Drosophila melanogaster: one gene and its partners. The protein of the gene in region 3 interacts with the protein of the main gene of each other region in a pairwise test. Each region holds a gene or a part of one and is shown on either strand. Other genes may lie near its edges. The genes, in order: CG31211, Cpr50Cb, CG6126 and CG33169.

Region 1 (6,689 bases), 4.2 Mb from region 3:
CGAGAAGGAGGAGTTCGACCACAAGCTGGAGGAGCTCACCCGCCACTGCTCCCCCATCATGACCAAGATGCATCAGCAGGGTGCGGGAGCTGGAGCTGGTGGTCCGGGAGCAAACTGCGGCCAGCAGGCGGGAGGATTTGGAGGCTACTCTGGACCCACGGTCGAGGAGGTCGACTAAGGCCAAAGAGTCTAATTTTTGTTCATCAATGGGTTATAACATATGGGTTATATTATAAGTTTGTTTTAAGTTTTTGAGACTGATAAGAATGTTTCGATCGAATATTCCATAGAACAACAATAGTATTACCTAATTACCAAGTCTTAATTTAGCAAAAATGTTATTGCTTATAGAAAAAATAAATTATTTATTGAATTTAAAAAAGTTTACTTGTTTGTATTATTGGGAACTTAATTCCCGTATTCCCGTATGTCCAACTTTAAAAATATATCTAATTATTATGAGGATATTCGCATAACACATGAAAAAAAAACAAATTTTTCTGAGTTTTTAATTTATTAGGCTGATTTAAAACTGTTTACTAAAAAGCATCTTAAACAGAAGAAATAATAATTATGTAATATTAACAATTAACTTCGGATTTTTACGCGCAAGATTTTTCTTAATGGCGCTTGCGCGGATGCGACGCGGAAGTGGAGGAGTATGCTTTCGAGCTGGAGTGGTGAGTGCTTCGCGACTTGGAGCGGGATCTCGTGCGGTGCCGCTTCCGTCCGCTGCTGCTGCTGCCGTGATCATGGCTACGGTTGCTGCCATGATCATGGCTACGGCTGCTGCTCTGCCGCGAGGAGCGGTGGTAACTGCTGCTACCGCCAGCATCTTCGCCTGAATGGCTGGACTCGCGATGTCGGCGCTGTTTCTGGTGGTGACTTCCACTAAGCTGGCTACTACGATGCTGGCGATGACTCCTATCACGGTCCCGCTCTCGCTCCCGCGCCCGCTCCCTTTCTCTGTCGCGATCGCGACGTTCGTATTTGCTCCGACTGCTGCTGTGGTGGCTGCGGTGTCCATGCCGACTGGATCGCTTGCTGCGGCTGCCTGAAGTTTTGGATCCGCTCGAGGTGCTGCTACTGTCGTCGCTATCGCTGCTAGAGCTGCTCCCACTGCTGCTAGACGATGACGAGGGGGACGAGTGGCGGCGCTTGCTTTTTTTATGCGACGACTTGTTGGCCTTGTGCAGCGCCTTGTCAGCCGCAGTCAGCATGGTGGCCACCGACTCCGGCATCTGCAGTAGATTAGTGGCCGGATTGGGAACGGGCTTCAGCTTTTGTGGGCTGCTATTGCTTAGGCTTCCGGGTGGTGGCACCACAGCGGTCGCCACTACTTGTTGCACGAAGCTCTGCGACTGCTGTTTGCCGTCCTTGTTGTCGCTAAAGCGGGTGGTCCGTTCCTTGCGACTGAGTCTTTTGCCTAAATGATGGCAATGTATGCTTAGGAGTTCTTTGGATTTATGTGCATCACCTATACCATTTGACTGCTGATGCTTTTCCTGGGTTGCTTGACTAGCCGACTCACTGGGCGGTTCTGGATTGGCCGCCGGTCGACGATGCTCACCACCACCAGTTACGGAGCGTTCTAGCTCCCGCTTGCGATGTCGCAGCAGTGTTTGCTCATCAAGCAGCTCTTGCTTGGCCACTCGATCCTCAATGTCGTCAATGACTTTCTCGAAGGATCGTTTGCTGCGCCTTATGCGAGCCTAAAAGCCAAATAATATTGAGAATTGATATCTTTTGATAATGAACGTGTGGCTAACTTACTTTCAACTCCTCCGCGCTTAGCTGCGCGCTTTTTTCGGCATCCTTTCCAGCGCCCGCTTGACGCTCATCTTCATCATCCTCATCATCCTCGGTTTCGCTGGAAGAATCGCCATAGGCAGCTAAACCTATAATTCAAATCAGTCAAGTGCTAATTGTTGCTACCAGGCTTCAATGTAGATCGGGCGCAGATTTTGGTATATTTTGAACTGATTTTCAATATCTTCGCAAGAATTTACGGAAAGGTGAAAGGAAGGGGAAATGGGGAAGCGAAAGGACGAAGAAGCGGGCTAGAAAGACCAAACTGCGCCGAGGGGGTCGAAATCATTTGGCCATGGCTTAAATTTACAGGAAGCATAGAATGTTAAATCTCGGCCATAGGAGTAATCCAATTCTTTGTAATATCTTTTCGTTTTGTGATTAGGATTTGGGGTATAGAAAGACAGGATGACCAAGCATAACTCAGACTACCTCTGAACAAAAATAGTGCAAAGAATATGTATGAACTAAACTGGAATTTGGTTACTTACCCAAGTTGCCGGTAATGGAGGACAAGGCGCTTTTGCGAATCACTTGGGCTGATGACGCTTTTGATTTACACATACATACATATATATATATAATTATATATATTATATATTAAAATTAAAAAATTCAGCAAGTGATTTCATTGGTTTGTGTGGTGTTCGATATATCAATTCATTATTAGGGATTTAAAGATTATTAGCATAGACATAGGATTAAAAGAGTTGGTAACGCGCTGTGAAGCCGGAAAAAACACGACTCCAATCGCTTGGCCGAAACATCCGGTCATCCAAGCTACAATCGATCCGCGATATATCCGCGCCGTCTTACGATCTATAACTACTTACACACACACACACGAGCGCGAGCGCTGGAAGAAATCGGTTTGGGATAAACTTAAGTATAATGCATAATGTACCTTTCGCACGGTGTGCTTTTAGAGTCTCGCCTGCAATGGCTGCAATCTCTTCGTTCGTGGTTTCCAGCAGGATTTCGGTTAGTGTCCGACGCACCACAAGCATCTACAGATGGGTGGTATTGGGTGTTCATATTCATTGTTTGCAACTATACAAATGGGTTTTTTTTTTGGATGTGCCGCCGATGGCCAGGGAATGAAACTCTAGTGAAGAGTGAACGAACTGCAGAGCAGCCAGTAAAGTGTTGTCAGAATTCCGCAGTTCCTTCGCCTCTGAGACTCACTCGATTTCATCGCCTGGCTGAGCAAACATCCGGGTCAAATGGTGATGCCTACCAGATCCGCCAGTCTTTCTTCGTAGTTTTTACCATTGACATCGTTTACGGTAGCCATTCTCACGTGCTCCGCCACTGTCCGATTGCCGGTTTCGATGGCTCCATGCAGCTCCGACTCTGGCTCTTCGCTGCTGCTGCTGCTTCGATCGTCGTCCTTACTAATCAATTCATTACCTATTTGCTGCACCTTTAGTTCTCCACGCGCCTCCACAGGCACGTCAATGGAATCTTCGCTGTCGCTAGCCTGAATTTCAAGGGAATGTTTAATCGACAGCCTGCACTCAAGCCTGCAGTCTGCTCTACTGTCCGGATTGTTTTTAAGTTTTGTGTGCTTTCAACGACGAAACATCGTTTTCAGTTTGGTTCAGTCCCGTCTAAATTTTGTGCAACCAATTTGTGTGAGATGGTGTGTGCTACGCTTTCGGCACTTTTCTGTCCGTATTGAGAGTCAGTTAACCCTGCCGCCCATCGACCTTACTTACCACGTTCGCGATGTTCAAAAGATTACCAGGTGTGGTTAGTGTTTTGCTTGATACTTGCTTAACATGGTTGACCTCAACATCTGGCGTGGTCATGGAGGATTGCTGGCGCTCTAGTTGCCGCTGCTTTTCCCGCTCCATTTTCTCCAGGCCCTCTCTGAAAGATTAAGGAAATTATTACAAGTATCTATCTTTTGTGCATCTTATTGTGGTTCTTTGCACACTCATACCTTATCCAAGCTGGCAACATTTTCCGTTTGTTTGCATCGATCTCACTGCTAGCCCCGCTACTTCCGCTTTCCGCATGCGTCTGCTGTGTGTGCTGTGGCGGCAGGTGTGTATGTGGTGTTAGGTGGTGTGGATGTGCATGCGGCTGATGTGCTGGTGGATGGTGTGGATGCGTTGGTTGGGGAGCATGCTGCTGCTGCTGCTGCTGATGCGCTTGCAACTGCAACTGCAGCTGTTGGTGCGGCTCATTGGGATTGCTCACGTTCAGCTTCAGCAGAGATGGTATATGCGCCGTGGAATTGCCTGATTTGTCGGTCTGCATTTGCCACCCGGTCCATGGCTGCTTGCCCAGCGTGACAGCTGCAAGGAACGGAGAGGAGGGTTAGTTGCTGACCTGATTTATTGTGCTATCTTCTTGGATCTTCTACAAACCCGCTCCGTTGGAGGCGTCTGGGATCTGACCAGCCACTTCGGTGCCCGCCAGCCATTGGGATTGCGTAACCAAAGGTGCTGGCGGTGGGGGTGTCTCAGTGCTATGTCCCCGATCATTCTCATCGTCCATGTCCATATCCGCCTCGCCGTGCTCCTCTAGTTGCGGAAATCCCGCCCTGACCACACTGGGCACCGGCATTGCTAGCGTCTGCTGGTGGTATTCTCGCAAATTGCTGATGATGGGCGGCGGAGGGGCCAGGGGCATGGGCACCGGAGTAGCGTCCCGCATGTGGATCCATTGCTGGGCGAGCTGCGCCCAATCGATGCCAACGCCACCCTGCATGGCGAGCGGCAGGCCGGCGGCTACCATGGGCGTCACCATGCCCTGACCGCCCCCGGAGGGCAGTGAAAAATGTGTGGGGGGTGGTGGGGGCTGCGCCAGGAACTGATTGTGATTATGGTTGTGCCCATGGCCATGTTGTCCAAGTCCATGGACGTGGGCATGCTTGTTGTAGCCCAAATCGGCGTTTCCGTTTCCACCAGGAAACATCTCTGCTTGTAGTTCGAATATGCTCTTTAAATCCCAGCTGTATTCCTCAGTTATCGAGGTTTTCTTCACGAGTGAAACGAATTTTCGTCGCCTTCTACGCCATTTTCTTGCTCAGCCCGTTTTGTCATTCGCAGCGAAGCGGTAACAGCGGGTCGCTCATATGACGGTATTTTTTAATACACTTCAGCTATACTGTTATTTCAAAAACATATTTCTTTTGTTACTTTTTATGCAGTTCATTTGCCACCAAAAAGTAGTCTTTTGGATTGATTTATTTCTAAAAATGGTGTAATTCAAGAAATTCAGAGGGCCAAGTAATATACTTAATGACCGTTATTTAAAACACACTCAAGGAGATTTATTTAAACGGCTACAATGGTTTTCCAAATAACTTATTTACTGTTGACTTCTATAAAACATAGGTGTATATATTATTATTTTTTATTGATTTGAGATAATTTTAATTTCCACAATATTTTTTCTTGTGATTAACAGAGAAAGTCAAACTCATAACATTTATCGGGTAAAAGTCTCTATGAAGTAGAGGTTAACAGTGAAGTCGCAAAAGTGTGGCCGTACGCCAATCGAGCGAGTATCCCTAACCTGCAATATTTTTAGTTGGTTTTTTCAGCAATAGCCCCACTTTTCTCAAAGAGTGCAACAAGTGATTCTGTTTATGTTTTCAACAACTTCTCTCTGCGGAACTTAACGTGAGCGGACGTATGCGGACGCGTCGCTGCCGGAAAAATAAGTTGCGTCGGCGTTGCGGCGTTGTTGTTTACGTGTTATAATAAATTTGTGTGCGTGCGAGAAGGGCGCGCTCCTGTCTGTGTTGGTGTTATTGTCGGTCGTTCTCAGCGCGAGTTTCGAAATACCGCATTGTTTAATTACAGCCGCCGCGACTAATTTCAATACAAACAAAAGCTGGTGTGTGAATGAAATTATGCTAAAATAGATAATAGTTAAAGGTAAAAGAAATTAAAAGATGAAGAAGGAGAAGAGGAAGAGAAGTTCTGCAGCGCAGTTGCGTCGGCGCAGCAGCGTTTCTATCGGTGTGTGTCTGAGTCTGTCTGTAGTGGTTTGTCTGGTTTTTTTTCGGGCTGTGTGTGTTCGTGTTTGCCAAGCAACAATTTAATTGCTATTCAATTTTAAAAGCAGTTCAATTGCAAACCATTACAAATATGTAATTTGCTGTCGATTGCTTTTGCACTGGAGTGCGTAATTACATTTTTGAGCCACCAAACACCAAACAGTGCAACTGTTGCCGCTACACTGGGAGCAAAACAGGACGGATAGATGATCAACAGTTCGTTGATTTTACAAAGACAAACGTTTTATTAATATACTTAGCATGTGATTCGATTTAACTGAAAATATATACAAATATTTAGTGGTTGCAAGTTTCTTTGTCATGTTAAGGAAACAAAAGTTCAATTTACGTCTTTATCTATATCAATCTTTCAACCATCAAAATAAAATAAAAAAAAATGAAATATCAACTTAATCTCAGAAATTTGGTATCATACGCAGATCTTGATTTTCTGTGTGCTCTGTAATGGCGTAATCGTAATCTTTGTGCCCCCTTTTAATGATTTAATTAAAAGCGTAAATTGCAGGCCGAAATTCAATTTGTCCGTTTGACTTTTCAATTCGTGTGGGTGGTTCTCTGACATTGGATCGTTGTTGTTTGCTTTTATTTAATTTTTTTTTTTTTGAGTTTTTATTGTAGTTGTGCAACAACACGCACACACACGTAGTAAATAATTAAGTTCGTGCGTCGCGTGCCGTTTTGAATTTTCTTTTTCCTTTTGCTGTGGGGCCCGGAAAATGTTCTCTTCTCACTGCGCGTTTATTTGCATTTCCATCAATGCGAAATTCGACTCGTATAAAATACAATAAAAAATCGTTCGAAAAAAACCAGTTGACCGTGAGATAACTCGTGCATAATTGCTAAA
Region 2 (4,830 bases), on a different chromosome or scaffold from region 3:
GCTCATCATCATCATCAGCAGCAGCAGCAGCAGCAGCACCATCATCGGACGGACTCAAATATCAAACTGTGAATATTTTAGGTTTGTCATTTGAAATTCAAAAGCGTGCCCGAATGAATGCCAGTCAATGCTACCAATCGTTTCTCGAATTCTTTGCCACCAGTTCTGCAATTTTCGCGTGCGAAAATGAGCAGCTGGAATCATGGGCATTAATATGCAGCAGCAGTTGGGCATTACTAGCTGGTGTGGGTGCTCGACGTATTCGTACTCTGTACCCTATAGTTGGCTAGCTGGGTAGTTGGCCAGTTGAGTCTCCCCCGGGCTGAAATTAACATGTAAAACATGCTCGCCCCGATGTTCTCAAAAGCCCGTGCACTCGACTGGCCAGCGGCCATTTGTCTATCGAGTGTCTGCCTTTTGGTGGGCGGATGTGGCAGTGGGTGGTTGGGCTCCTGGTTTTTATTTTTGGCTTGGTACGCTTCCGTGCCTGCTGTTATTCGCCCAGTTCGGGCCAAAACAAGAATGGTAAAAAAAAAGGAGAAGAAAATAAGGGGAATATAGCGGCATTGGGGAAATGGAGAATCGCTGGTGAAAAGTCAAAAAGTTACAAGCGGCAAATTACACGCGTCTGGCTGGAGTTCTACACTCTGCTCTCAAACTCTATTCCTTTGCTATCGTCTGGTGTACCTTTTGGAAGTTATCTGCTTGGCAGACCAGACGCATCAGAGATGGAGGAGTGCACTGCGAGAAAAACCGCTGAAAAAAAACATGGCTAATAGAAGAACATTTAAGATCTAACACTTTGGCCTCAAACATTGCATATATATTGCGTTTATTTTAACTACTAGTTATGCTCGTCCATTAATCACGATTACGTTAATCGTAAAAATTCATTCGAGTAATTACATGATGTATGACCAATTAAATTTTAATTAGATATTGATTATGTCTTCTTTGAAAATCTTCATACATTTGAATGGCTTTCATTGAGTACCTATTAATATAATTTTATATCTCAATCTTTTTAGACACTTTTGGTTTTTGAAGAAATCTAATTTTTCTCCTGTGTGCTCACGTAACGCGGAATGGGCGGAGGTACATTGGATGGATTCCAGACAGTGTGGTCTGCCGTCTGGACCTGCATTGCATCCAAGTGTCGCACCAACAATTTAACACGCCCCAGTTACAAAAAATAAAAGGACATCAAGGAGCAGCCAGCGAAACTCGCGTCTGTTTTATTTTGTTGCCTGCTTAAGGGCGTCGTCCCAAAACGCGATTCAAAATGCTTTAACAATGGCGAACAAGTGAAAGTATTTCGCAGTTTACAAGTGTGCTCTTGATTGCGGGTTAACTTCTGGACTTCCAGGAAAAGTATTCAATACTGTAATTTCACAATAAAATTGTGAGAATATGGAGAATTTCCAAAGCGAAATGTGTAAATTAATAGGTAACAGAAAGGATTTTGGATCACCTAGAAATTTCTTAGTTGCACAACTCTTTCTGTGTCAATTTACAGCAATTTGAAACAAATTATATAAATATTTTTACGAAACTATATTAGTAAAGTATAAAGTATATTTTTCAACAATTTGATGAAAAAAAACTTGTGTCAATTTAGCACCAGCTAAGAAAAGTTTGCCTACAAAATAAAGTCAAGTTGGAGCCTTATATATTTGCAATTGTTCAAGGGGAGCAAAAAGGTTTGCAATTTTCCTCAGATGATGCCTAAATACGAAAGGGGAAATATATTACCAACATGTGTCCTCCGCCTTACAACCTTTTAGCCTTCTCCGAAACTCAAGTGTTTAGTTAGGAACAATCAGGGAGTATTGCTTAGATTTGGGGCGTATTTTACGTGGCACTTGGCAAACGCAGATGTTGCCAAATATTGAATGCGTATCCATGGAGGAGTACGTACAAGTACATATGTATATATATATATATATATTAACCAGAGCGGAGTGGAGCACTTAAGTGTCTTTGATTATTTGCAATTTGTTCGATTCGGCGGGGTTACTTTGGCCCCTTCGCCACTTGACTTTCGTGTGTGTGTGTGTGTGGACTTGGGTTTTGATTATGATGATGATGATGAGAGGCTCTGTGGCAGACGTGTGGCAAGTTATGCAATCATTTTCGTTGCCATTGACGGCAAGTGTTACCAAAAAAAAACGAAAAAAAAGGAAGGCAAACAGTTTGCCAGGCACTTGAAACAACCAGTTTGATGGGTAGTTGCCTTCAGTTCTCCTAGCAAATCTCATTTAAACTTTCCCCAAAAGCCGCAGCAGAAAAATGACATTGTAGACGAAAAAGGACACTGAGTGACCACGGGTCATTTTTCCCTGCCAGCGATAAACAAATTTGACATATAACAAGCTTAGCTTGCTGGCCTTTCCACACACATACACATACATGCAAACATACATACATATATAGTTTCGCTTTAGCCAAAGGACACGCCTGCGAAATCTCATATGATTTGTTTGGCCAACTGATTTATGTAGGCTTAGCTATGTTTTTTTTTTCCAGGCCCAGAAATACATGTCCTTGTTTTATGTACGTATGTATAAATACTCACAAGCAGGACGAACGACTTGAAGGACATCATTTTGTTAGTTGAGTTTCGATTTTACGTTCACAGACGATGGCAAAAAGTAGTGTATCCACAAACGCCGCTGGCTGAAGTTGAAATTGAATTGAATTAAATTAAATTCATTAGAGTTGTCAATTATTTCATTTATATTGTTTCGAGTTAATCGAGTGTCTTTTGTGTTATTTTTATGATTATTGCACACTATTTAATTTGTAGTCCTTCGCTTGCCACAATAGTTGTATTAACTCTTACTTTCACCGGGCGGGGGAGGGTTTTATTTTTTTATCACCGGTTGGATTTCTCAACTAGGAGGGGGCCTCAGTTAAAGAGGAGGTGGTTTTATCTTTTTAGGTTCGGCTAGATTGATTTCCTAGACAACCGCACGAAGTACACGAACGTTTTGAATTAGGTTAGACAATGGAGATGCGCTTGCTTTTTATAATAAACGCTCAAAGACGCTGGCAGCGACGTCGGCGGCGACGGCGACTGCGGCAGCGGCGGTAGCAGCGGCGTTCGCGTTGCCAACTGCACCTAAAAGTAACGAAAAAGCGGTTTGAACAATTGAGGCAAGTCTAGCGCCTAACTTCTAGATCATCTGCCTCCGTGGAGCTGGAGCCAAGAGCATCCACATCCACGAGTCTCTCAGAATGGCCCAAAGAGAGCGCAGCGTTGCTCTCACCGTTTTGGCCAAGTCTTGGTGTTGAGGTGGTGAAAAATGTTGCAGATCATCGCCGTGGCACGATCATTACGATGATGGGTAACGAGATGATAAATGAATGGCTGGCACGATGATGATGAAGCTCGGGCGGATGTATAACAAGATGAGTTCGAGTGGAGAGCCTGCAACGCCCCGAATGACTTCATTAAATACTCGGCCAAATTTGATATTTAAGCCAAGCTTTTATGAAGTCTGGGCCCTCGGGCGATGCAGTTGCCATCGAGACGATACGAAAATGTCACTGGGAATGTCAGATGATAGGTTTCGTTTTAGCCTCCAAAGATACAGTCGCCCTTTTTCGAAATATCTATATATTTATTTTTGTTTGTTTTTTCTTCTTTTTTTTTTTTTTGCCATTTGGCCTTTGGGAAAGCATCAGAACATAGAATAAGTTTGGTGAGAAGTACGTGATGCGGTTGCCCGGGGAAAATTGCACAAGCTGCACAAACGTGTTCATGTGGCGTCCCAATTTCCCGCAGCACCTCTGCCAAAATGCAATCTATGACGTGAGGCTCATGCCAAAGATCCGTAGCCGAGGCCCCGAAACTCATCCATTGGCCATTGCACAAGGCTGGCAGACGTGTCGAGTGCCTTTGGGCCAACTTCCTCCTTCCAACCAACATCAACCGCATGGCTCCTTTTCTTCCGTCAGGCCTCAAATCCCATCCCATAACCAATTAACCTTGAATGTATCACAGCGCCTCTGTACGAGCCGAGATTAAATAACAATTAAAAGCAATCCGATGACTGATTTCAGAGTTTCTTCACATTTTTATTGACCACTTGCGAGGTGGCGATGTGTGCGTGCGTGCGATATTAAAATTAGATATTGAAATTATTATGGGGAGCAATCAATCGAAAATAGCTACACTTACAATCAACCCATCTTATAATCAGTGATGCGAAAATCTTGTACCAAAATCGAAATGTTATTACCAATTACACTGGGCTATGACTAAAACTATTATTAATATAATATTATATATTTGTAATATTAGATATGGTATTAGTTTTCAATAGCTGCAATCTTAAAGATACTCTAATATCTCAATATCTTATTTTTATAAGCAATTTTATTAGATTTTATTAGTTTGGTACCCATTTTCCAAGGTAACATTTCGTGTACCTAAGATGTTACCTCTATCAGCGCCGCTTACACCTGCTGGCAATCTTCAATGGACCGCTGTGAAAAGTAATTGAACAACTTTTGGTTACTTTTAACTTTAGATTTCCGTGACACTTGAGCTGCGGATACACATGTGCGCGCGTGTGTGTATGTGGTGTGTGTGTATCTCAAACGGTCTTCTTCACGCGGAGGCGAACGTACTGTCAAAACGATGTCTTAACAACATAATACCCGCCGACAATCGGGGCCAACTGGCAACTGAAAACTACCAACTGGTCCGATTGTTCGGATTGTTGGGATTGTTACCCATATCGCAAACTCTGGGGGCAAATTGAAATTTCTTTTGAGACGCTCTCGAAATCAAGTGCAATCGTTGGTAGCTGCGATTACGAAAGG
Region 3 (7,262 bases):
CGTGTAGTTAAAATTTAAATTGAAAATATATTCAAATTCGAAATGAATGTTCTCAAATGTACCAAACAAAACAAAATGAAGAATTACCAAACAAGAAACAAAAACCGAAAAACCAAAACTCTCTCTTTAAACAAACTTTAATTGGCGGGTTAAACATCATGTGGAGCAAAGGGAAGCGATGGGTTATGGATTTGACATTGGAAATCCCTGTCGGCAATTGGCAATTCGATAGTGCAATTGAGTGGAAATTACTGAAACTTTGCAAGGCCAGACGAACCCGAATTGGCTGTGTCGGTCGGAGAATAAACTTTAATTGGAAATAGTTGGGAAATAATTTTTTGGTGTGTACTGGTTTTACCGTAGAGAAAATTGAAATTCAAGCTATGAATCTGCGCCTAAATTGATAGAGCCTAAAAGTAGACAACACTAATCAGTAAAAATGCTCGTCAAGCATTTAAATTTCCTTTAAACTAAATTTTACCACCGAAAAAATTAAAAGAAAAAATCCGTACAAACAACAAAGGGACACTCAGAAATGAGTGAATCCACAAATTAGGATTCCCCATATTCTGCACATCGTTTTATTCGCTTGGAATGAATAGAAACTATTAAATCTTACTACTAGGCAGAAGAGTAGAATTCTTAACAAGAAAACACAGGGTAACAAGGAATTTAAGCTGGATTTTGGACTTGGGAAACAATCGTCTTTGGCTAGGTTCTACTTGCTCTCGATGTTCTTGAGCGGCACCATTTGCTCCGGATCGTCGGGATATACGCTATTCTGGCGCTTTTTGCGACCAGCACACTGACTGAACCAAGTATCTCCCTTTCCGAAGTTCTCTCCATCCTCAATGGACTCGGGCATGGGCTGGTTCATTGTCTCCGGCAGGAACATAACCCAGAAGCCCGAGATCAGGGCCACCACGCCGAACAGCACGGCCGGTATCTTCGGATCAAATGAGTCCAGCAATGTAATGAGCGGAGTAAGGGCTCCCGACAAACGGGCACACATCGATCCCAATCCCATGGCCGAGTTCCGCACCACGGTGGGAAACAGTTCGGCTGAGTAATTGTAGATTACGGCAAAGGAACCGGCGATGAGGAGCTTTCCTGCCATTACCACCGCCGTGGAGGTGGTGCTGCCCTGGGCAATGTAGGCGGCCACAATGCAGCATAGACCGCCACCCAACATCAGGGTGGAGGTGATCGATCGACGACCCAGGCGATCTAGGACGAACACAATGGTTATGTAGCTGGGGAACTCCACGAGGCCCATGATGAACAGGATCAGGTAGGGATTTCCATACAGCTTGCCGGCACTGAGCGATAGTCCGTAATAAACCAGAGAATTGGCGAACCAGCAGAGGCACACGTTCAAAGTCTTCATCCTCAAGTTGGGCGTGCGGAAGAGGTCGCTCAATCCGGCGCTGGATTTTTCTTCGGCCGCCGCCTGCTGTTTGGCTTTCTGCACATAGTACTCCTTGTCCACCGGGATGCCCGATCCGTTGATTCTCAGGCCCTTGGCCACAATATCCACCGCCTCGGCGGCACGTCCCTGCATCCACAGCCAGCGCGGAGATTCATCGAGCCACCACCAGTGGCCCAGGAACAGACAGCCATGCAGTCCGTAGATCACTTGGAGCCACTGGCGGTCAGGGATGAGTGCTCCCCATCCGGCCACCAACATGATGCCACCAGCGAAAACAGCCTAAAAGTATTGCATGGTATAGCCAGTTTAAAAAATGCAAAATCTATTGAAGTCTTCCTCACCTGGAAGGTAATGCCGCACACAGTACGCTTGGTAGGTCCCACCAGTTCCATGGTCAGCACGAACCCACAGATGTAGGCACCCGCTGATCCCACAATGCCCAGCAGGTAGCGAGCCACCATGAATGAGAAGTACTCGGGAATGAAGGCCACACCCACACCGATGATCAATTGGAACAGGGCCGACCAGCAGAACACGGTTTTCCGACCCACTTTGTCGGCGAGTCCGCCAAGGGTGACTGCGCCTGTGAACACGCCCAGCATGAACACGGTCTGCACAATGGCTCCCATCCAGCGGCGATCGCACACAAAGTTCCAGTCGATGGTGCGCGAAGTCTTGTAGTACGTCGTGTCGTATACGTAACGTTCGCAATTGATGGTGGTATTGGTGCCAGGACTACTGGGATCGAACATGAGGCAGGACTCTAGCTCGCCATTGGGCTTCAGCGGAATGGCGGCCAGGATAGCGCTCGAGTTCCATGGTGTCACCGACAAGCTGCTGTTATCCACGCCCTCGATGAAGCAGCGATGCTCAGGCACGGCGGCCACCGTGACCAGCGATAGCATGTGCATGCCAGCGGTCAGGCCGGAGAGCACCTGCAGGAAGAACTGCAGGAACTGGTACTTTCCAAACTCCCCTGCAATTGGATAGAAAAAAATAGAAAGACATTTCACAATCATTAATGTCTTGGGAAAGGTTATGAGCGCACAACAAATGTGAGCTTTCAGCAACATGATAGATAGTGATAATCTGTAGCACCCATGAATCACCCAGTTTACGATTAAATATAATAAAAAGAAAGTAAGTTGAGCTGAAAACGGAAGTTGTTCTAGCTCAAATTATTTAAAACGGTTTTTTATTTCAGTATTTGAATTTGAACATCACGTAGCTGCGATAAAAACACAACCCAAAGAAACAGCCGACTTTTATGTAGATGGGAACTTTTAATGGGTATCGCTGGAATTGTCGTCACTCCAAAGGCTTTGCAATTAAATCAAGTGGAATTTATTCAATTCGATTTCAATTGAAGCGCATTCGCCTAGCCCGTCAAATATTTGCCCACAGTTTGGTTTGGTTTGGTTTTGGTTTCGAACGCCATGAAAAGAGACTCGGATGTCTTGGGAGAATGCACTGAATCGATTATGACTTGGCTGGTCAGTCAGTCCATGGCGATCGCGTTGATGGGAGGCCAGGGGCTGTGTAAATTTCTAACGACATGGACAGTATGTAGCCTAGATACGAGAATTTGACACTTGATCACGGTCCAATGTTCAATCAGCCGTTTCAATTGATTTGTGGGTTACGTTTATTGATCGTTTAAACGAAACTCTTGCCATCAAATGAAAAGTTACGTTCACCCCGGTTACGTTGCAATCGACAAATCATGAGTAAAACGTCTGAGAATTTTCATTTTTCATTATTAAAACGATTGCGTGAAGTGTAAAATTATGTCATCGGGTTGACTTAATTAATCTCAATTATAAAATTTGACTCTACGCCTAATGAAATTCAATTACGCCCCCAATAGACATAATCAGCGTATAATTGAGCACAATCTAGGAAATCGATTGGCCAAATTTGTGATAACTAAACTCGTAATAGTAAATACTAATGTGGAACTCATAGCGGATTATCAGAGGCCACCAAATGCTAGATCATATATCAGTGATATTGTTGCTTCAGATTTATTGCATCCGTCCAATATAACTAGCCGTATAATTGTTGCCAAGTGGCCCTTGAATACGACATTTGTTTTTGGCCCTGTCAATGTTTGTTGTTCTCTTAATCGTAAGCCATCTATTATGATGTACAAAACCAACAGTTTGCACATTAAAATGAATATGGCGCAGGTTTGGACCGTTGTTTATTCTGGGCAAACTTTTTGAGCGATAAGTGAGATGGATAAGAACACGGAATATTAAAAAATAATGCAGTCATATTTCTAACAATATTGCACATGTATATTAATCTACTGTTATTCTACTATCAACTGTTGCTTTATTTCAGAGTTGATTTCTTCAAAGCTTTTAAAATTTCCTTTGTGCTTAAGTATCATGATTCGAATAATTGAGGTAGATCATGGTTTTACACCTCCACTTTAAGGCTTCCTTCGGTTTTTGTTCATCCGTACTTCAACATTTTCACTTCCCGCGTTTACTAACAACTGAAGGTCGATTTAGTTCTGTTCTGTGCTCTCCACATAGCACGTGTGGAAGTGCTCTCAAAGTCATTTTAAGTTGCTGGTTTTATGGTAACCTTCTTACGTACAAATAACAACCAACTCAGCAATGCAACACGCCTCCAAATTCGAAGTAATTAGAGTTGCTGCTCGCCAATAGGCCTTCAACAAAGTAAACAGAAATAAAAGAGCGATATGTGAATTTTGATGGCTGAGGGAGGTATTGCCATATAGTTGAATGTGAGCAAACCAGTTTAAGGTTTTTTGCATTTCACAGATACAAATGTATGCGAATATATTACGAATAAAAAAGTCGCTAATGCGATTATTACTCCCTCTCTCCTGTCACTTTCTTATAGGCTGCGGTTTTGCGAATGCTTAATACAAAACCAGTTTCGGATTGTAAAAAACTGTTCTATTTTAATTAACGACAATTTCAGCACAATCGTTGACACAAATTTTATATTCCAACTCATATTTTATGTGACTCATAAATTTCTAATTTGTAGCCGTGACAAATAAAACTGTTTATCCATCGATCTTCCACTGTATTCCCACAATTAATCTTAACTATTTTGCATACTGCATATAAACACGCTTAATTTTGTAGCTTCCACAAGCTAGCTGCAATGTTTGAACCGCACAATTAGAGTATATAATAAATTATAAGCAAATACCCAGATATCCGTAGATCCCAAGATCTTTATGACGAGCCTACTTCACAGTCTTGTGACAGATACCGCCCCTTTTGCACCCGTTTTATTTTTGTTTGCCTGTTAGCCGCCACACTCGTTTTAGCGTCACTGTGCTAAAGCCAAGTAGGCTCAACAAGTGTCAGACAGCCTCCAGCTCAGAACTTGGCCCACACGAACATGTGTCGACTATATGTGTACATAAATACATACTTGGTATGGTATATAGTCAAAAGGGGAGCAACAGGTCGGAGTCTCTATCAAGCTGTCATAAATGTCTGTCACTTGGTGGCCTCGACGATTTATTAAATTAAGAATAGTGCAAAATGAAAATGAAAATAGTTGCAATTAAAAAAGTATTATAGTCGGCTTCTTTTGAGCACTTGACGTGACGGACAGCCAGCCGGATAGATTAGGCGGAGATTAAAAGCATAATACGGAAAAATTAATTATAGATTTTAAAAGCAGAACAGAAGGTTGGGCGGTAAACCTCATTGGTCGTCGTGAAACAAAATATTATCCATAGTAGCTTGCAACGCTGATAAGACCTCTCAAAATGATAAGCATAACGCCAGGCTCTTATCAGCACGGGATGGAGACGCCTGGCAACGTAACAGCTGACCTTTCAAAAGTCTTCGCTCCCAAAAGCCCATTCCACTCACCAAGTTTCCCCATCAGGTCCTCCAGTACATAATCCACAGCCATGTTTGATTTTTTATTGATAATCAAAAATAAATGAAAGTAACTGTTTGCTATTGCTTCTTAACAAATCGTCATCTTCTGCAGAAGTGGAGCATGTATGAATGGCACACCAGTGCAGCACTGCTGATAGTTACGGGTCGCGAAGATGCAAAACGAATCCGGGATAAACAACGTGCTCGAGTGAAACAAAATCGCAAACGGAGCGCTCGATCAGCTATCAACTCTTCCGACCGCCGGCAGCATTTGAACTGGCAAAAACTAACTGCGAACTGTGTCGCTCAGCGAGAAAACTGAGTGGTAAATGGCGATAAGGTCGCTCCAAGCTCGCGAGCGAAGAGAGCTTGTGGAGGTCTCCAAAGTTGGGAACTAAAGAGCAAACTCTGCTCGAGGGTAAGAGCTTCAAAAACTGTAATCACCATTATAATCCTTGATGTATGAAAATAAATGATGCCTCTTGGCAAGGATCCCTTAGATTAGAATACGATCAGAAAACTCATACCTTAGCAAGCTTTGATTTGCCTAACACTCAGTGACAAACAAAACATAAGTCACAAAAACACATACAAAAAATACATAAAATTCATTTAAAGTTAATTTTAAAATTATGTGTGAGCCAAACTTATCAGATCCGTCGACATTCCTGTACTTGGATATGCTGGCGGATATTTTAATGCAGGACAGCCTTGAAATGGAATCAGATTTCAATACCAAGTTAAAATTTCTTAAGGAACAGGAACAAATTTGCCTAGACAATGCCAAAAATGTGAGACTCAATGGCCATAGGCAAACAGGATATAAATTTTTCATACTCCAACAGGCACTTCCCATCGATGATACCCTGAGATCAGTAAAGTGCACCATGCTTAGGGTAGAAATGGAGCTGCATGAAAACGAGATTAACCTTATACAGGCGGAGAAAGCAGTTACGAAATTGGAGCAGAGCTATCCGAGTCCTGAGAGTCTGGCAGGCCAAGTGTTTCCTTTGGCAAGTACCACATATCAGGATTTGCTGAGTATGCTGATGTCTTCGAAAAAAACAGTCGATCATTGCAATCAGATCAAAGAGGAGGTCGCGACGTATAATGAGCAGATATCCGCAAAAGTACCTTCCGTAAATTTGGTATGAAATGATGACTAAAAGTTGTATTTAGAGTTTCTAAAGTGAGTGTATCAACAGGTAACCAAGCTTATCGATTACCACAATAATACACTGGAGTCTATGGAAAAAAATATCGAAAAATTGAAGAGCCAGGTCACACAAGTTCAAAAGGAGTTCGAGCAGCTTTATAACGAACATGCACGCCAATTCAACGCACCGTTCCCATGCAAAAAGGTCAAGGAGTTAAAACCAAAAGACACATGTGGAGTACGACTACGCATGTAATCTGATAACACAATATATCCAACGAATATTATAAATGCTTACAATGCTGCAAGTTCAACTTTTCGCTTAAGATTAGGTTTGGTGATCTGGGCTTAAATTTTAGTTGTTGGCATCACGGAAAAACAACACATCGTCGGCTATGATACTGGTGCTAGTCTTCTGGTTGCCCTGCTGGTCGGTGATCTCTCCATAGGTGATCTTTCCCTGCACCATGGTTCGCTGTCCCTTCTTCAAGTATTCCAGCACGGTGTCACGCAGATTGGGCTTGAACACCACTACACGATGCCAGTCGGTGCGTTGGGCCCAGTCGCCGTTCTCATATCTGTGGGGAAATATTTAAGACTTCATGAATGCTTTTTAAATGAAATGGTAGCTATTTTCTTTATGAAATCCGGCATTTCATGGATCCTAAGAAGAAATTGATCACTGAAGTTAATTGAACAAGGAAATGTACACTATTGCCGTTATCATTAGGTAATTACATACAGCAAATGTTCTAATAACTCATTACATAAATCTGAATTAGCAGCTCAACGT
Region 4 (3,172 bases), on a different chromosome or scaffold from region 3:
AAGCAACACAACCACAAAAACCACAGAAAAGTTGTATCTCGTATCTGATATGATTTCAGGTGTGAATCATAAACTTAAAAACATCAGGAAACCGGAAAACTTACCAGAAACTTGAGCATAGTGGAATAGTTAAAGGAGCCTTTGTCACCCGCAGCCGCCAGCGTGAGAGTCTTAGCAAAAGTGAGAGAATGTGAAAAAGAAACGTCAAACGACGCTGCTTCGGCGCTTCGTCTGCAGCTGCTCGGAATCTGAAAACAGCTGACTGGCCCACTGCGATTTGTGTTTGTATGGTTAGGTAATCGTATTTGGCTGACTCTGATAACTATGGAGTTAAGTTACTGCCTTTCGAGCACTGAACTTTTACTTCAATTTATGTACATGCATATGCATATGTATTAACAATTATTAGTTTGCGGTCACCGACGACGAGCTCCTCGGTGGACGGGCGTAAGTGAAACTGAAACAAGGGCAATCGCAATTAAAAACTGAACGCAAAACGGCCAAAAATAAAACATGTTGGTGGATGCCGCCTTCTCTAATATACATATGCACATATTTACATATTGAAGTGCCTCTGCTACGGTTTTTACCGTTTCCTAGTGCCCTTTTTTAATCAACCGCCAAAGCGCTAGACGGTTTTCAACACTACCACCAACGACCGTAATTCGGATACATTTTGTCCCCAAATCTCAAATTCCCAGGAACTGCACTTGAACAGCAGGGTGTTGTTCGTGTCATGGAAAATCCACTTTATGTAAAACATGCTTTTTGGATGGACGAACTGTGATTTAATTGTACTATTAAGGCTATATGTCTTTACAACGATTCAATTGCACTGACCACGACTATAAACTACATTTTATGACTACATTAGGCCAAGACCGCGGGGCGGGTCTTCAAGTAGACGAACAGCACCAGAAAGACCGCCAAAACGCCGAGCGCCGGCAGCACCACGGTGCGGATCTTCGCCTGGGTCTCCAGGTTGTCCAGCTTGCGCTCCTTCTTCTGTTTGCGCGTCTCCTTCACCTTTCCCTTCAGCTGGCGCATCTTTATCACTGATAGTTTTTGCGATAGTTCCTTTAATCTGGTGACGTGTAACACTCGTCGGAATGTGTGTGCGTGGAGCAACAAAACAGAGAGCTGGCCTTCTTTCGTTCAACAAGTTGTTTCTGGGCCAAAGAAGAAGAAGAAACGTTCGACTGGGCTGGCTAAAAGCAGGCAGCTTTTGACTGTCGACAGTGCTGCTTATTTCATGCAGTTTCTGGTCGGGTTACTCTGATGACACGTCCGGCCGACTAGTGTTGAACAATGTCTCTGGGACGGAAGCGCGCGTTTAAAAAAGTCTTTATAATTAAATAACGCATTTCATAAGTTAGAAAGCCATCAATTAACCTGGGGCTGTATTTGCCTCCATCTGAACATAAAAATGTCGTAGCAAGTTGTACAAAATTCACTTGCCAGTCAATAGTGAATACTTTATTTACCCAAACAAAATATAAAATAAATATAGTTTAAAAGAAAATAAAGCCGACTGAATAAATTTTTGACTGCAGGCGAAAGTCAAAAACGTATATGCATATATGTGAGTATAGACGTTGTCCAAAGATAACGAAACAACGATACATTACAATAAATATTACAAAATTCTTGCAACGAATAAAATCTCACTCGAATTTAGTCAGATTAAAAGTAAATCGTAGTCAAAATATTTGAATGTTTTTCTATCTGCTTCAGAGGTATTTTTTTATACCAAGCATCGAAAATTCGAAAGAGTACCTTTTACTAGTAATTGAAAGTTTTCTATTATTCAAAAATGATATTTATACATTATTATAGCTATTGGTTTTGGGTTGGTTTTTGTCAATGCTGCACAGCTTCTGTTCTTCCTCAGGCGGTACTAAACGGAGGCGGAGAGAACCGCGTTTCAATTTTGCTTTGTATTGACCGCTGGCATGGCGCTGCGGAAGAATCTAACCCATATTTTTCTTTAACTGGCCTGCCGCCCCTTTAAGCCCTTTAACTGCACCCGAGGCCGTCGAAACAAGATACGCCAGCAACTGTTGCACCTTCACCTCTGAATGCGATTTCGAAAATGTTTGAGCAGTTCGCAATACTCCCAGGGGTCGGGTCTATGCCACGCAGTCACTGCTTGGGCTTCTGCCGCGAGTGCTGGACACTATGGATATTGTGGACACCGGACGTGCTGGATAAGCTGGCCGCTGCACACTTGATGAAGCAATAACAATGCAGACCGCTGGCCGGCAACCGTGGCCGAGTGGCCAATCAGTCGGGACGCACTGCCAAGTTTGTGCATTGGTAATGAAGCCTGGCGAGCCAACGCACATTTCGGCATCTAATTTTGCCCATTACCATAAACGGCAACCCGATCAGTTTGGACACGGATTATTGGCAACTATTTAGCCGGCCCCTAAAGGCCTAGACCTGCCAGCCCGGGCGAGTCCTCACGTTACATACAGATTGGCCTCAATGCGCACGCGGCTGTCCGAAAGTCGTGTTCCCGTCCAGGTCCAATCTTAGTTTCCTGGTTCTGGCCAGCGCTTACACGACCATCATACACGGCCTGTTCGTTAGCTCGCTGGCCAGCTATGTGTGATGGCCAGTCCGCTGATTGGCCAGGCCGCCGTCCGTCAGCCCGGTCCACCTGTCCGTCCTTGGGGCCGGGAGACCAACTCTTAGCTAAACCCCTTGTTTTGATTGCCAACTCGTAAAATGATGGATTACCGAGTTGGGATTTATTTCTTGTTACGGTCATAATAGATTATCGTTGCTCACTCATTGTCAGAGCTGCCCCCCCCCCCCCCCCCGAGCCACCTCTATCTAAACGGCAAGCAGCCAGAATTGCTGTCTTCGGAGGATTTGGCGTTTTGATGGAGCATGGCTTCGTCGAATGGCCTCCGATCGCACTATTCGAATGATCAAACGAACAATTAAACGCAAGTACCACAGGCAACTTAGAAGTAATTTTAGTGGTAGCACTTCTTAATTTACAAACAAGCTAGGATCGAAGTTAAAATGTAATACGCAATGCACTTCTAACCATCTGGCCTATGTTCAGGATACGAGTAGGATTTGTTAACAAATAGCCGAGGGTTGTCATGCTACGCAAATAACAAATGTACTCATTCTAAGCCACTCATATGTTGAAAGTTTT

What was found.
Region 1: the proteins of CG6126 (region 3) and CG31211 interact in a two-hybrid assay, tested with the Drosophila melanogaster proteins (one large-scale study listed by BioGRID).
Region 2: the proteins of CG6126 (region 3) and Cpr50Cb interact in a two-hybrid assay, tested with the Drosophila melanogaster proteins (one large-scale study listed by BioGRID).
Region 4: the proteins of CG6126 (region 3) and CG33169 interact in a two-hybrid assay, tested with the Drosophila melanogaster proteins (one large-scale study listed by BioGRID).

What each region holds. Positions count from the first base shown.
Region 1 is NT_033777.3:11,947,850-11,954,538, reverse strand, and holds CG31211 (uncharacterized protein), read right to left. Parts: upstream 4,860-6,689; 5' UTR 4,735-4,859; coding exon 4,185-4,734; intron 4,113-4,184; coding exon 3,755-4,112; intron 3,682-3,754; coding exon 3,528-3,681; intron 3,290-3,527; coding exon 3,047-3,289; intron 2,817-3,046; coding exon 2,714-2,816; intron 2,358-2,713; coding exon 2,301-2,357; intron 1,899-2,300; coding exon 1,774-1,898; intron 1,713-1,773; coding exon 621-1,712; 3' UTR 501-620; downstream 1-500. Other genes in the region: Hsp70Aa (heat shock protein 70 Aa), read left to right, coding at 1-178.
Region 2 is NT_033778.4:13,792,951-13,797,780, reverse strand, and holds the start of Cpr50Cb (cuticular protein 50Cb), read right to left. Parts: upstream 3,005-4,830; 5' UTR 2,843-3,004; intron 2,677-2,842; 5' UTR 2,606-2,676; coding exon 2,576-2,605; intron 1-2,575.
Region 3 is NT_033777.3:16,197,490-16,204,751, forward strand, and holds CG6126 (uncharacterized protein), read right to left. Parts: upstream 5,595-7,262; 5' UTR 5,345-5,594; coding exon 5,302-5,344; intron 2,406-5,301; coding exon 1,771-2,405; intron 1,709-1,770; coding exon 719-1,708; 3' UTR 511-718; downstream 1-510. Other genes in the region: CG31287 (uncharacterized protein), read left to right, coding at 5,946-6,104, 6,159-6,461, 6,519-6,725; mtSSB (mitochondrial single stranded DNA-binding protein), read right to left, coding at 6,825-7,047.
Region 4 is NT_037436.4:22,861,858-22,865,029, reverse strand, and holds CG33169 (uncharacterized protein), read right to left. Parts: upstream 1,167-3,172; 5' UTR 1,048-1,166; coding exon 871-1,047; 3' UTR 534-870; downstream 1-533.